Drosophila melanogaster: one gene and its partner. The protein of the gene in region 1 interacts with the protein of each later gene in a biochemical or structural test. Each region holds a gene or a part of one and is shown on either strand. Other genes may lie near its edges. The genes, in order: CtsL1 and cer.

What was found.
Region 2: of the proteins of CtsL1 (region 1) and cer, one has a biochemical effect on the other in vitro, tested with the Drosophila melanogaster proteins (one study listed by BioGRID).

What each region holds. Positions count from the first base shown.
Region 1 is NT_033778.4:13,959,388-13,967,461, reverse strand, and holds the start of CtsL1 (cathepsin L1), read right to left. Parts: upstream 6,282-8,074; 5' UTR 6,269-6,281; coding exon 6,197-6,268; intron 5,243-6,196; coding exon 5,126-5,242; intron 2,810-5,125; exon of another isoform or gene 2,544-2,809; coding exon of another isoform or gene 2,277-2,543; exon of another isoform or gene 1,976-2,276; intron 1,858-1,975; exon of another isoform or gene 1,767-1,857; coding exon of another isoform or gene 1,677-1,766; intron 708-1,676; coding exon 493-707; intron 433-492; coding exon 1-432. Other genes in the region: CG42806 (uncharacterized protein), read right to left, coding at 2,277-2,543; Rpn13 (regulatory particle non-ATPase 13), read left to right, coding at 7,374-7,894, 8,064-8,074. UniProt on the Drosophila melanogaster protein: Important for the overall degradation of proteins in lysosomes. Essential for adult male and female fertility. May play a role in digestion.
Region 2 is NT_033778.4:19,395,428-19,398,451, reverse strand, and holds cer (crammer), read left to right. Parts: upstream 1-1,679; 5' UTR 1,680-1,789; coding exon 1,790-1,828; exon of another isoform or gene 1,829-1,889; coding exon 1,890-2,090; 3' UTR 2,091-2,237; downstream 2,238-3,024. Other genes in the region: SdhA (succinate dehydrogenase, subunit A (flavoprotein)), read left to right, coding at 2,709-2,765.

The DNA of each region.
Region 1 (8,074 bases):
GCCTCGGCCATCTTCTTCTCATCACCCTGGGGAATATCGGTGAATCCACGATCGGTGGCTCCGACTGTGCCCTTGTTAAAGTGGCACGAGTCATCGATGGCCTCGTAGGGATAGGACTTCTCGGTATCGATGCCTCCATTATCCTTAATATAGCGGAAGGCATTGTCCATGAGACCGCCGTTGCATCCATTGTTGCCGTACTTGGTGGAGCAATCGACCAGATTCTGCTCGGACAGCGAGACGAGGACACCGGACTTGCGGAAATGCTGACCCTCGAGGGCGCCTGTGCTGGAGAAGGCCCAGCAGCTGCCGCAGTGTCCCTGATCCTTGACGGCGGTCACAGCTCCCTTGGTGCGCCAGTCCACAGATTTGGGCAGCGTCACATGAGCCGGCGAGATGAAGGTGACTCCCTTGAAGCTTTCATCGGCGGCACTGAAAGCGAATGCAAAGTTGAATATGTGCACATTATAATCCTTAACGATCCCAACTTACCGCAGTTGCTTGTGCAGAGTGTAGTTGAAGCCGTTCATCAGCTGACGGAATTCGTGGTGCAGCAAATCGGCGTACTTATTGACCGCCAGTTTGAAGCTCACCTTGCCCTCGGCGAATCGCTGGTTGTGCTTGGCAATCTTGTGCTTGTTCTCATTGAAGATCTTGAGGCGGAAACGCTCCTCGGTTTCATCCTGATAGTTCTTGCGGTGCTCCAGCTGCATAATGAAAAGTATTAGTATTAGTTAGATAATGCACTCTTATCAAAGGTAAGTGCTACTATCGATTGACTTTCGTGTACTTGTTTCAAGATAAGATAAAGCCAACCAAATGAAAAGTTAACTTTTTAGACGCATTTTTGGGAACTCTATTAAAAATCAAATAAAATGTTTTACGTAAAATGGATTTACGATCGCTGAGGCAAAAGTTCTTAATCTGCAGATTACACCTTATCACAGCGCCGTCAACCTGGCACGAGCGAAACGCTCTAGAGGAACGGCCACAGTAGCAAGCTCTATAAATCTATAAAACATGGTCATAAAATTGTGTTTAACGATTGCCCAACGACAGGAACTTGAAACGGGTGTTAATGTTCCAGGTAGTAAACAAACGAGCCAAACTGCAGGTAGGAATAGGAGAAGCGAGGCCAGCACGAGGAAATGCGCTCCATCTGCCTGCAGTGGTCCCGTGGATAAGAGACCTCCTCTCCCAGCTCGGGGTTGTTTGTTAGTCCGACCCGCATATTGACACAGCCACAGCACGAAAATAGCACGAACGCTAAACAAATGATAGCTATAAAGGGAATTGAAAGGCCAGGGCAAGAAGTCGACTAGGTTGCTATCCATTAGATTCGGCAAATGCCACTATATGGGGGTAGTTTTCGATTCAAAGTGAAATTTGTGAATAAAAATTGACTTCCTCTTGTCTGAATACCAAATTAGCGGCTTTGCATAGAATCGAAAAGTTTATGAAAGTTAAGTTAAGTATATAGAATTATTCAACAAAACTCATTATTACTGCTCACGAATATCCAAATAGCAAACATGCTAAACTGAAATGCATTTTCCAAAAGTGTTTATTGCTAAACTGGTTATTTTTTTGCGACTCTTCAACGCACTCAAAGTGGCATGTTTTCTCAGTGAAATATGGGTATAAACCCAAACCTAATCGCTTTTTAAGTGGCTCACCACAAGTCTTAGTAGATTTTGCAATATTCCAGGGTACTTGGCACATTGAACTGAACAGTCGAGTGGCGCTGTCATGTGAGAAACATGCATGTGTAATTACTTTTGGACATCAAAGCGGACCAGCATCAGCAATTGTCGCCCCAAATGGACCGGATGGGGTCCACTGGTCCGTGGTTGACTCCTATAATTGACATAATTGAATCGAATTCGAGTCTTGCAGCAAAATGAAACCCCGCCCGTTGTGATTTCGAGGGAGGAGGTGGTAACGGCAGAAAAGAGGCGCCTCCCGGCACACTGACCTATTGATTTTCCTTGCAAACGTCGTTGGTTCTCGTTGCCGCATGATAAAATTCACACATTTATTGTATACTTTTGTAGAAAATTTGAATTTGCGATATATGCAGATAGAGTTAACAACTTAAAAACACCGTAATTAAATGCACGTGCGATCCGATGTGATATCCAGGCACTCGACGTATACGTTTTGTATCTATCAATCTAGATATACTACATATGTGGCTTAGGAAACTTCGTTGCAGTTGAGAAGCTTGGACGATAGTAGTTGAGTATCAGAGAGCTTAGCTAGTGCGATCTCCATCCCTACAGTCGCTCCATCTCGATGGCACAGCTATCGTCCTCCTGATCCGCATCCGCATGCCGTTCCGTTGTCGAAGTGGCCGCATAGGAGGAATGTGGAACAGGTTGTTGTTGTTGCTGCAGCTCCTCCTCCTGGCATTTGTATTCCCGCCGCTTGCGCATAATGTAGGCGAAAACGAAGCCATTTATGACCAGCATGGCCAGGACAATTATCGTCGGCCAGACCACATCCACCGATACATCCAAATTATTTGCACTGGTATCGGTCATTCTTATGCTGTGATTGCTCCTCCGTGGTTTTTATGTAATTTATTTGCTATTACCGCCCGTCTCCCTGCGATTTCGTAGCACGTTTTTTACGATGACGCGCGTGCTTTTCCGTACTTCTACTACCACCGCTGGGGGCCCCGTCTGACTTGGCTCCTTTTATTTCTTTTCTCTCAAATGTTCTATATATTGCGCTCTGCACTGCTGCTGCTACTGCCTGCCGCTGGCTGCTCGAGCGTTCCGTTGGCGTGGAGCGTCGGTTCGGGAATAACAAAAATACGACAGAGCTGGCTGCTTCGCTTTTGGTGGTGGTGGTGGTGATGGTGGTGGTCCGCTCGCAAACGCAAACTCAATCGCATGACGGCGGGGCGAAAAAGAGCCGAGTTCACACACGCACACAACACACTCTACACTCTTTCTTCGTATCGCCGAAATCGAAATGAGAGCCCAATCTACGTAGGCCAACCAATTTGGAGGATGGCAGGCGGGCGTACTCTATATATTTCTTGTTTCTTATGCTTTTTCGTATATTTCCTTCTGTTTTGCAGCGCGCGCATTGTGGGTTTGCTCAAAAAGGCGAACCGGTTTCATTTTGATTTATAAGGATTTCAGGCGAGCTATTCAAATATGTTTGCTCCAACCGGTTAGCAGAAGTAACAGATTTAAAAAAAAACGAAAAAAAAAACAGAAACTTATGTATCTTTAATAAAAAATGTAAGAAAAGAGCCGCATGCTGCTTTTGCAAGTCAGCGAAATTTTTCCCAGCTTGTTTATTTACGGCAGCCGATTTGTTTGTGCACTTGTCACTCGGGGAATTAATGCTAGAAATCTCTTTCGGCTCTCGGAAATGCCAGCGAAAAATGGCAATTTGATAAGCAACGCCGATTTGTAGCGCGTCATTTCCAAAATGCTCGCGGCCCCCCGCACGACTTGTTCTTAAATATTGTTGTTGAATATTTGCCGAACTATGCGAATAGCTGCTTAAATTAAAACGCATTAATCTGGAATTTTAGAGCTTATCAGTGCCACAGTTGCTCAACGCTGACTTTTGCAGCTGTGCATTTGCAACCGACAACTGTGGCACTTTGGACTGCACACACATTACAGATAATGTCGTTTTTATTAACTAACTATAAGCAGTGAGAGCTAATGGTTGGCATCGTTATCACATTTAAATTGCGCGCCTTTCATTCCCCAAGCAAGCATGGGTAGCACTGTTTGCAGCAGTGTGACCGAGCGTTTGCAGTATTCTACATGACACCTAACGGTCTCGAAATGTAAAATGGCAAATGTAAAGTAATTGTGAGTTTATTTTGAAAAAAAAAAGAAAACTAAATCTAAACTAAATTAGATGATCAAAGAAAATTTAGTTAGGTAAATAATATATGAGTGGGGAAATTGCAAATGTTTAGTTGATTTTCTTTTTATTTTTAATTAAGGATGAGTAACTCTTTCCATAAATATGATTCCTATTCTTTCAGTTGATCAGACTTTGTTATTTATAAACAATAATTTAATACACCACTCTGTGCTTACTCTAACAAATGAGTCACTCAATTGAATATGATATTTAACAGCAGATAAAAAAAGGAAGGGAAATAAAGTTATATGCATATATTGCATATGCGGGTGCATTTGAATTTGAATTCGAAAAGTGAATATAAAACCATCAAAGGCAAAATATCCAAAGTTATTAAACCAATATGCATATATAGAGATGTACATATATCCCCCTTATCACATGAGATCTCTGCACAAACAGCTAATTATTATTTGTACGCCCCCATTTGGGGCTAATGACGCTTGGCACGGAACTATTCAGTAAAATAATGGAAAAAATCACGACCCCTGACTGTTGGCGATAAGAATTAGACGACACTAGGGGCGCATTCAATTAATCAATAGACAATCCACCATTGATAAGCAGACGAAGTTGCAAGTGAAGGCTGCGAGACAAAGGATGATTGGCCCAATCATCAATGGAACCATGGACACACATATATATGCAATAGAAGGGGGCAAAAATCGAAGTCGCATTAGGAAACATGGCTTGCGAAAAGTGTGATGGCAAATATGCGACCCGCGCCTTATCAGTCGGCCGGCAGTGGACCAGTTTGAGTCTTGCACGGCTTATCGGCGGGAAATGAACCGCGAGCGTAGCGAAAGTGGGCGACACAACGACTTGGATTATCTGCCCATCCAGCCGATGTTTACGGATGGGCTAAGCAAAGCAGCCCAGCTTGCCGCTTGCGGTCATGTGAGCCGGCATGTGACTGGACGACAGCCTAGACTTTTGGACTTATCTGAATCCTCCTTCCGTCTCTTTGAGGCAGCCGCGCAGCAGTGCATTCACACTCGCAATGGCTGCTGACTCAGAAGTCAGAAGTGCGGAATCGTCACAAACGGAAGAATGCCGCGCGTCCAACTATGCAAACAAAGTCGGACAGAAGACAAAGGCCCAAAAAAAAAATTAATGGATTAATCATCATTACACATCAAGCCCTTGTTACCGGAGAACACTTGTTATCTGCCTCTTCGGCCTGGCGAATTAAATATGATCCCTAGATGATCCGGTTGAAACTCACCTTGAACGTATGCCATTCCTCCATGACCACGTCGGCGAAGGAAACGGCCTGAGCCACCGCCAGCAGGGCCAAAAGTGGCAGCAAAACAGCTGTGCGCATTGTGATTTGTTCTGGAATCTGCAAGAAATCACACAATTAGTAAGCAAACTAACAATCGGAGTGTCGGTCACGTGAAGCCACTAAACCAGATTGCAAAATATCAGGGCTGGCTCACTAACTTCGAATTAAAGTAAAATACATATTCTAAGCTGCTCGAGCGATAAAGGAAAGTTGTGAATAAAGTCAGTTTCTTGCACTTGTTCATGATTCATACTATTAAATTGTGGTTAATTAGCATAATTTGTGCTATTAAAGTATTAGTTTTATCTTAGCAACTTTGTCATGAGCCTAAGCAATATTTTAATAAATTTCTAACGATCAAAATCACTGCAAAATATTTAATATTTATTGGGTAAAATATGGAATTTATTGCACCAAATTGCAATTTATTGCAAATTTATAATAAAAAAAAGGTTATTAATATTATTTATTTATTTGAGGCTAACTTAATGTATAAAACTATAAGCAATCTGAGATCTAGCAATAGAAGCTTTGTAAATATATTATTTTAATTCTTTATTAAATTCGTAACAGACATGGTTTTGAAAAACTAGTTTTTAAATATATCATTGTAAGCATAGAAAAGAGTGAAAATGAAAGAATAAATAACGGTTCAAATTTGAGAAATTTGATCCTTTAAAGAAGCTTCTCTCGATTTTAGCGTAAAATATTCTCTTTATAGAGACATAAAAATTATTTCTATAAAACTTGACTGATTTGCGGGGCGTTTGTAAATATATTGACATTTGCTTTGTGATAAACAATATAGTTTAATATTTGTTTTTTTTTATTTTTTCGATGGCGATGCGTTATCTTATCGGCCATTCCACTTTGCCTCGCAGCTTCGTATTGCTTTCAAAGTCTGCCATTTTTGCGCGATTTGCTTCACTTATTGTTTTTCTATCATTGTCTTGCTGTTTTTGCGCCCATTTTGAGAAACGTGAGAGGCATTTGATAAAAGTTGTTATTTACCAATTGTGCCCTCTGCGATTTGTGCCTAGTTCGAGGGCGAAAACGGGTTTCAAAAACGCCAAGGTGATTCATCTGGCTATCAGGTGAGTTAAAAACCACAAAGACTAGAAAAATGGGTCAGCACAAAGGGGAATTGGACAAAATCTAAACAAAGAAGCGCAACAGAATCTAAAGCGCAAAGCAAAAGGGGCAATAAAAACGGGCATAGACGAAGATGCCGACTGTTGATTATTGTGGAGTGCAATTAAAGTGTAAATAAGTCGCCACACAGACATGACGCAATTAGATTCAACAAGTCAATACGAAGCAATTAATCGGCATTAATGCAGGGCAGGTATATTTGCGTTCTCAACTCGAAAATAACTAAAAAGACTACATATATTGCTTACCACTCGGAATTGCGTCGCAAGGAATGCAGTAAATTCACTGATTTATCACTGTTGTTGCACTCTTTTTAATTGGCTGAAACAACACTAATGTGCAAGTCAACCGATTGTATTTAACAAGTCGCTCTTGATGATCCAGTCCCAAAGACCTTTCGTTGTTTAATGAAAACCAGCAGAAATTGTTTAAACAAGAAATCTCCGACAGAGTGACCAGTCCGAATCTTCTGGAAATACCAGAAGTTGCCTGAGCAGACGGCTTATCGATAACAGCGTGGGCAGTGATGCAGTTCTTGTGTGTAAAACGGCCAAATTCAGTCGCTAAATCGAAATAATTGGTCAGCCTAAATATATGCAAGAGCTTTTTAGTTTATGTTTATTTAATAATGAGTGTTAAATAACTAAAAACTATACCTCTCTTGTTACTTTTGCAATCGAAAGATTTCTAAGTCACTCAACGAACTCAATTTAAATTATACAACAAATGTCTAAACTGAATTTTGTTCAACAGTGTTTTGAAATACTAAATGTTAGAATTCACCCGTTGATGGTAACACTGCTGAGGTAAGAAGAAGACAAATTTTGCTCGTCATTGGGAATTGACGATTCACTGAATTTTTGATAAACTCAACAAAGTAAACGCATTATATATCCCGTAAGTAGTGCAGCGACTACTAATAACCCCAAACCGATCACGGCACCATAAAACACTTTCGAGTTATGCGCCAAAGAAAGTCGTAATTACAATACGTTCTTCATCCAATCTTCGCCAGCTCTCAAGAAGCACCCGCATCATGTTTGGAAGACAAAGTGGACTGGGTAGTTCCAGCAACAGCAGCAACCTGGTGGAGTTCCGCGCAGGTCGCATGAACATGGTGGGCAAGATGGTGCATCCGGATCCGCGCAAGGGCCTGGTCTACATGACCCAGAGTGACGATGGCCTGATGCACTTCTGCTGGAAGGATCGCACCTCCGGCAAGGTGGAGGACGATCTCATCGTCTTCCCCGATGACTTCGAGTACAAGCGCGTCGATCAGTGCAAGACGGGCCGTGTCTATGTGCTTAAGTTCAAGTCATCGACACGCCGCATGTTCTTCTGGATGCAGGAGCCCAAGACGGACAAGGACGACGAGCAGTGCCGCCGCATCAACGAGCTGCTGAACAACCCTCCATCCGCCCACCAGCGCGGCGGCGGCGGCAGCAACGACGGCGACCTCCAGTACATGCTCAACAACATGTCGCAGCAGCAGCTGATGCAGCTCTTCGGCGGCGTTGGCCAGATGGGTGGTCTCAGCTCGCTGCTGGGCCAAATGAAGTGAGCATTTAAACCCTTGCAGCCATAGTGTCCAAGAACTAGTCAAGTAGATAGCTTCTTAACTTACAGGGTATCGTTTTTATTGTTTATAAGCATGTAATCGAAGGAATGAAGCCAGAACTTGAGTTCACCCCCTTTTTCAATATTTTCCTTTCTATATTCTCCGCAGCTCCCGGACGC
Region 2 (3,024 bases), 5.4 Mb from region 1:
GCTTATATCTATTATAATATAATTCTAATTTTTAATTTATACGATGGCCACGGCAACACACCCTCCCCTCCACACACACACACACACAGAGAGAGATAAATGCAATTCACACAACAATTTGTATGATAAACGAGAATGAGGTTTGCAGGTGTACACGCAATATCCGACACCGCCGCTTTGTCCTAAACAAGTAACTTGCAAATATCTTCTAGATGTATTAGCTTATAAAATAACTACGCAACACACCTTACTACATGATGACATGGTAAAGCAAATGAACAGATAAAAAAGGGTACAAATTCCCAGGCAACTCTAACGACAAACAAAGATTTGTTTGAAACAAAGGCAAACTTTTGTTTTTAGACACATACGTACAAGCGTGGTACATGCATAATACTTAAATGCAATATTTTTTTAGAAATGCAATAAATTCGATGACAACAACTACAATTTGATATTCTAGGCATGTGTGTGTTTTGTGAAAGCGCGTTTTATGTTTTTGTGTTCTTTTGTTTTGTTTTTAAATTCCGGGCAGCCACAATTTGCACACAAAACGAATAAATAATTATTGTATACATGCAGCAATTGTATTAGTTTTTTATATAAATAATTATATATTTTTATGTACGTAAAACTGTTTATACATACATATACATATATATATTTATAAAAACCAATAAATTATGAAGAAAACGAAAATCCAAAAATACACCACGCCCGCATTAAAACATGCGATTACTCTGAGGAAAGCAGAAACAACACAATCACTGAGAATGGTTGGAATTTTCCAAAAATTATCTCCAAGAATCAAATTTCAGCATTTCTTTTGTAAGTAGATGTGCTTGATTTGTAATCGCTTTTCCATTTATAATATTCAAATCGATGAATAACGAATACTGCAATTAACTATATACGACTGCCATAGCATGTAAAACTTTAAGGCACAACTTAAACGCATTTACATTTCAAATTAACTGACATAAAATTAAAACCCCGATGATTAATGCCAGATAAATCGAATGTTTCTGCTTTTCCTACCCAAACCCACCACCACATTGAAAACACTCTCTTTACAACATAATACTTGCATTGCTGAGCCTTAGACAAACAAACAAACAAAAAAAAAAAACGGCAAAATATAAAGTATAATTAAACTGATTATTTGCGCAACGACAGAAGCTTATTTCTAGCAACTTTTTTGCGTCATTAAGGCGAAAAAGTCTGTATAATTTTGTCCTTAGATTAACATTAGAAATATGTCAATATTCTCACTCTGTGCAAATAATAAAAAAACTTTTGAAAAAAGCAAACGAGAAGCCGAAAGTTTATTCATAAAATTTGTTTAGAGTGTAAGAAAATGCATATAAATATATATTTAAATTCGTATTATACACAAGAAAAAACACGACACACACGAAGAAGTAAACACGTAATAAATAAAAACTTGAAAATTGTACAAAATTCAAAAGTATTTGAAAAGAGGTTTTTTTTATTTGTATTTATTTTTTGAGTAGTCATTCCAAAAAATGTAACAATGGTTTTGCATTAAATGTTTATAATGTTTGAGAATTTAGCATATGATTTAAATCGAATTTGAATAGTATCCGGTTTTCATAAACGAGGGCCCACTGTTATTTATGTTTGTTTTTCACCGAAGTGGCATCTCTGATCAGCTGCATATATTATCGTTTCTTTGTTGTGTTTATATGTTGTGACTCAGTGCGAAACCGTGATAAAACCTGAGAATTGAAACGAAATTTAGTCGGTCACCAAAATTACAAGTGTCAAGATGTCCCTGGTTTCAGATGAGGAGTGGGTGGAGTACAAGGTAGGCCCAATATGTCCTAGCAAGCGACGCAATATTTAGAAATCACTTGATTCCACCATAGTCCAAGTTCGACAAGAACTACGAGGCAGAGGAGGATCTGATGCGTCGTAGAATCTACGCCGAGTCCAAAGCCCGGATTGAGGAACACAATCGGAAGTTCGAGAAGGGCGAAGTGACTTGGAAAATGGGAATTAATCATTTGGCTGATCTCACGCCTGAGGAATTTGCCCAGCGTTGTGGCAAAAAGGTGCCGCCAAATTAACAGAATCTCAAGTGAATCTCATTTTAAATAGACATTTTGTAAAGACACTAATCTCTCTGTAATTCTATAAATATGCATTTGAATTTTTAAATCTTTATCGTTCAACCACCCCCAAATAAACAATAAATCAGCTGTTTTGTACATTTTAAAGATTTTGGGATTTTTGTGTTCTGGCCACTTTGGCTGGGAGAAAAACAGTTCATTAGGTTTTGGTTCAATGAACGAAGGTTTATTTATCTCTACGATATATGCAAATAAATACGTACGGCTGAGATGGTAAAATTCCATTCCAAAAATATGTATGCTTGTACGCGGTATCTATATACATTTTGAACTTAAAGCGGATTAACGCCTTTCTGCGATGAACTAGTTCCGGTTCAGCGTTCATTGAGCGAGTCAGTGAACCGAACTGCAGTGCCGACGAGCGGCAGTTCACACACAACATTTGAAAGTTTGTAAACTTTTCCTTTTTCGATCACATAGACACATCGATACACGTAGTTATTTGTTTTTATTTTGTACCAACACCAAACACCCCATCTTACAAGCGCGTAAAACCTCGTTTTCGGTCCAATCTCTTGCAGAATCTTGCAGTAGAACCTCACAGCCCAGCCAAACATGTCCGGAATCATGCGTGTGCCATCGATTTTGGCCAAAAATGCAGTCGCCTCCATGGTAAGTAGTCCCCATTTTGGAAGTGAAAACCCAGGCTCCTCTGTGGCAAACGAAATGATTTAAGAGTGGTTATACAACCGGGTCTACACAGAACCCAGCCAGCCAGCTCGTGATGTGACAACAGAAAAAGACCAACGAATTGGCCAAAAACGCGCCACCCGTACTTGTGTTATGTAATTTGTGAGCAAATTGTGGGACACAGGTGCATTAAATTATTCCCTTTGCTAGATTATATTAATTTTCATATAGCGAATATCAT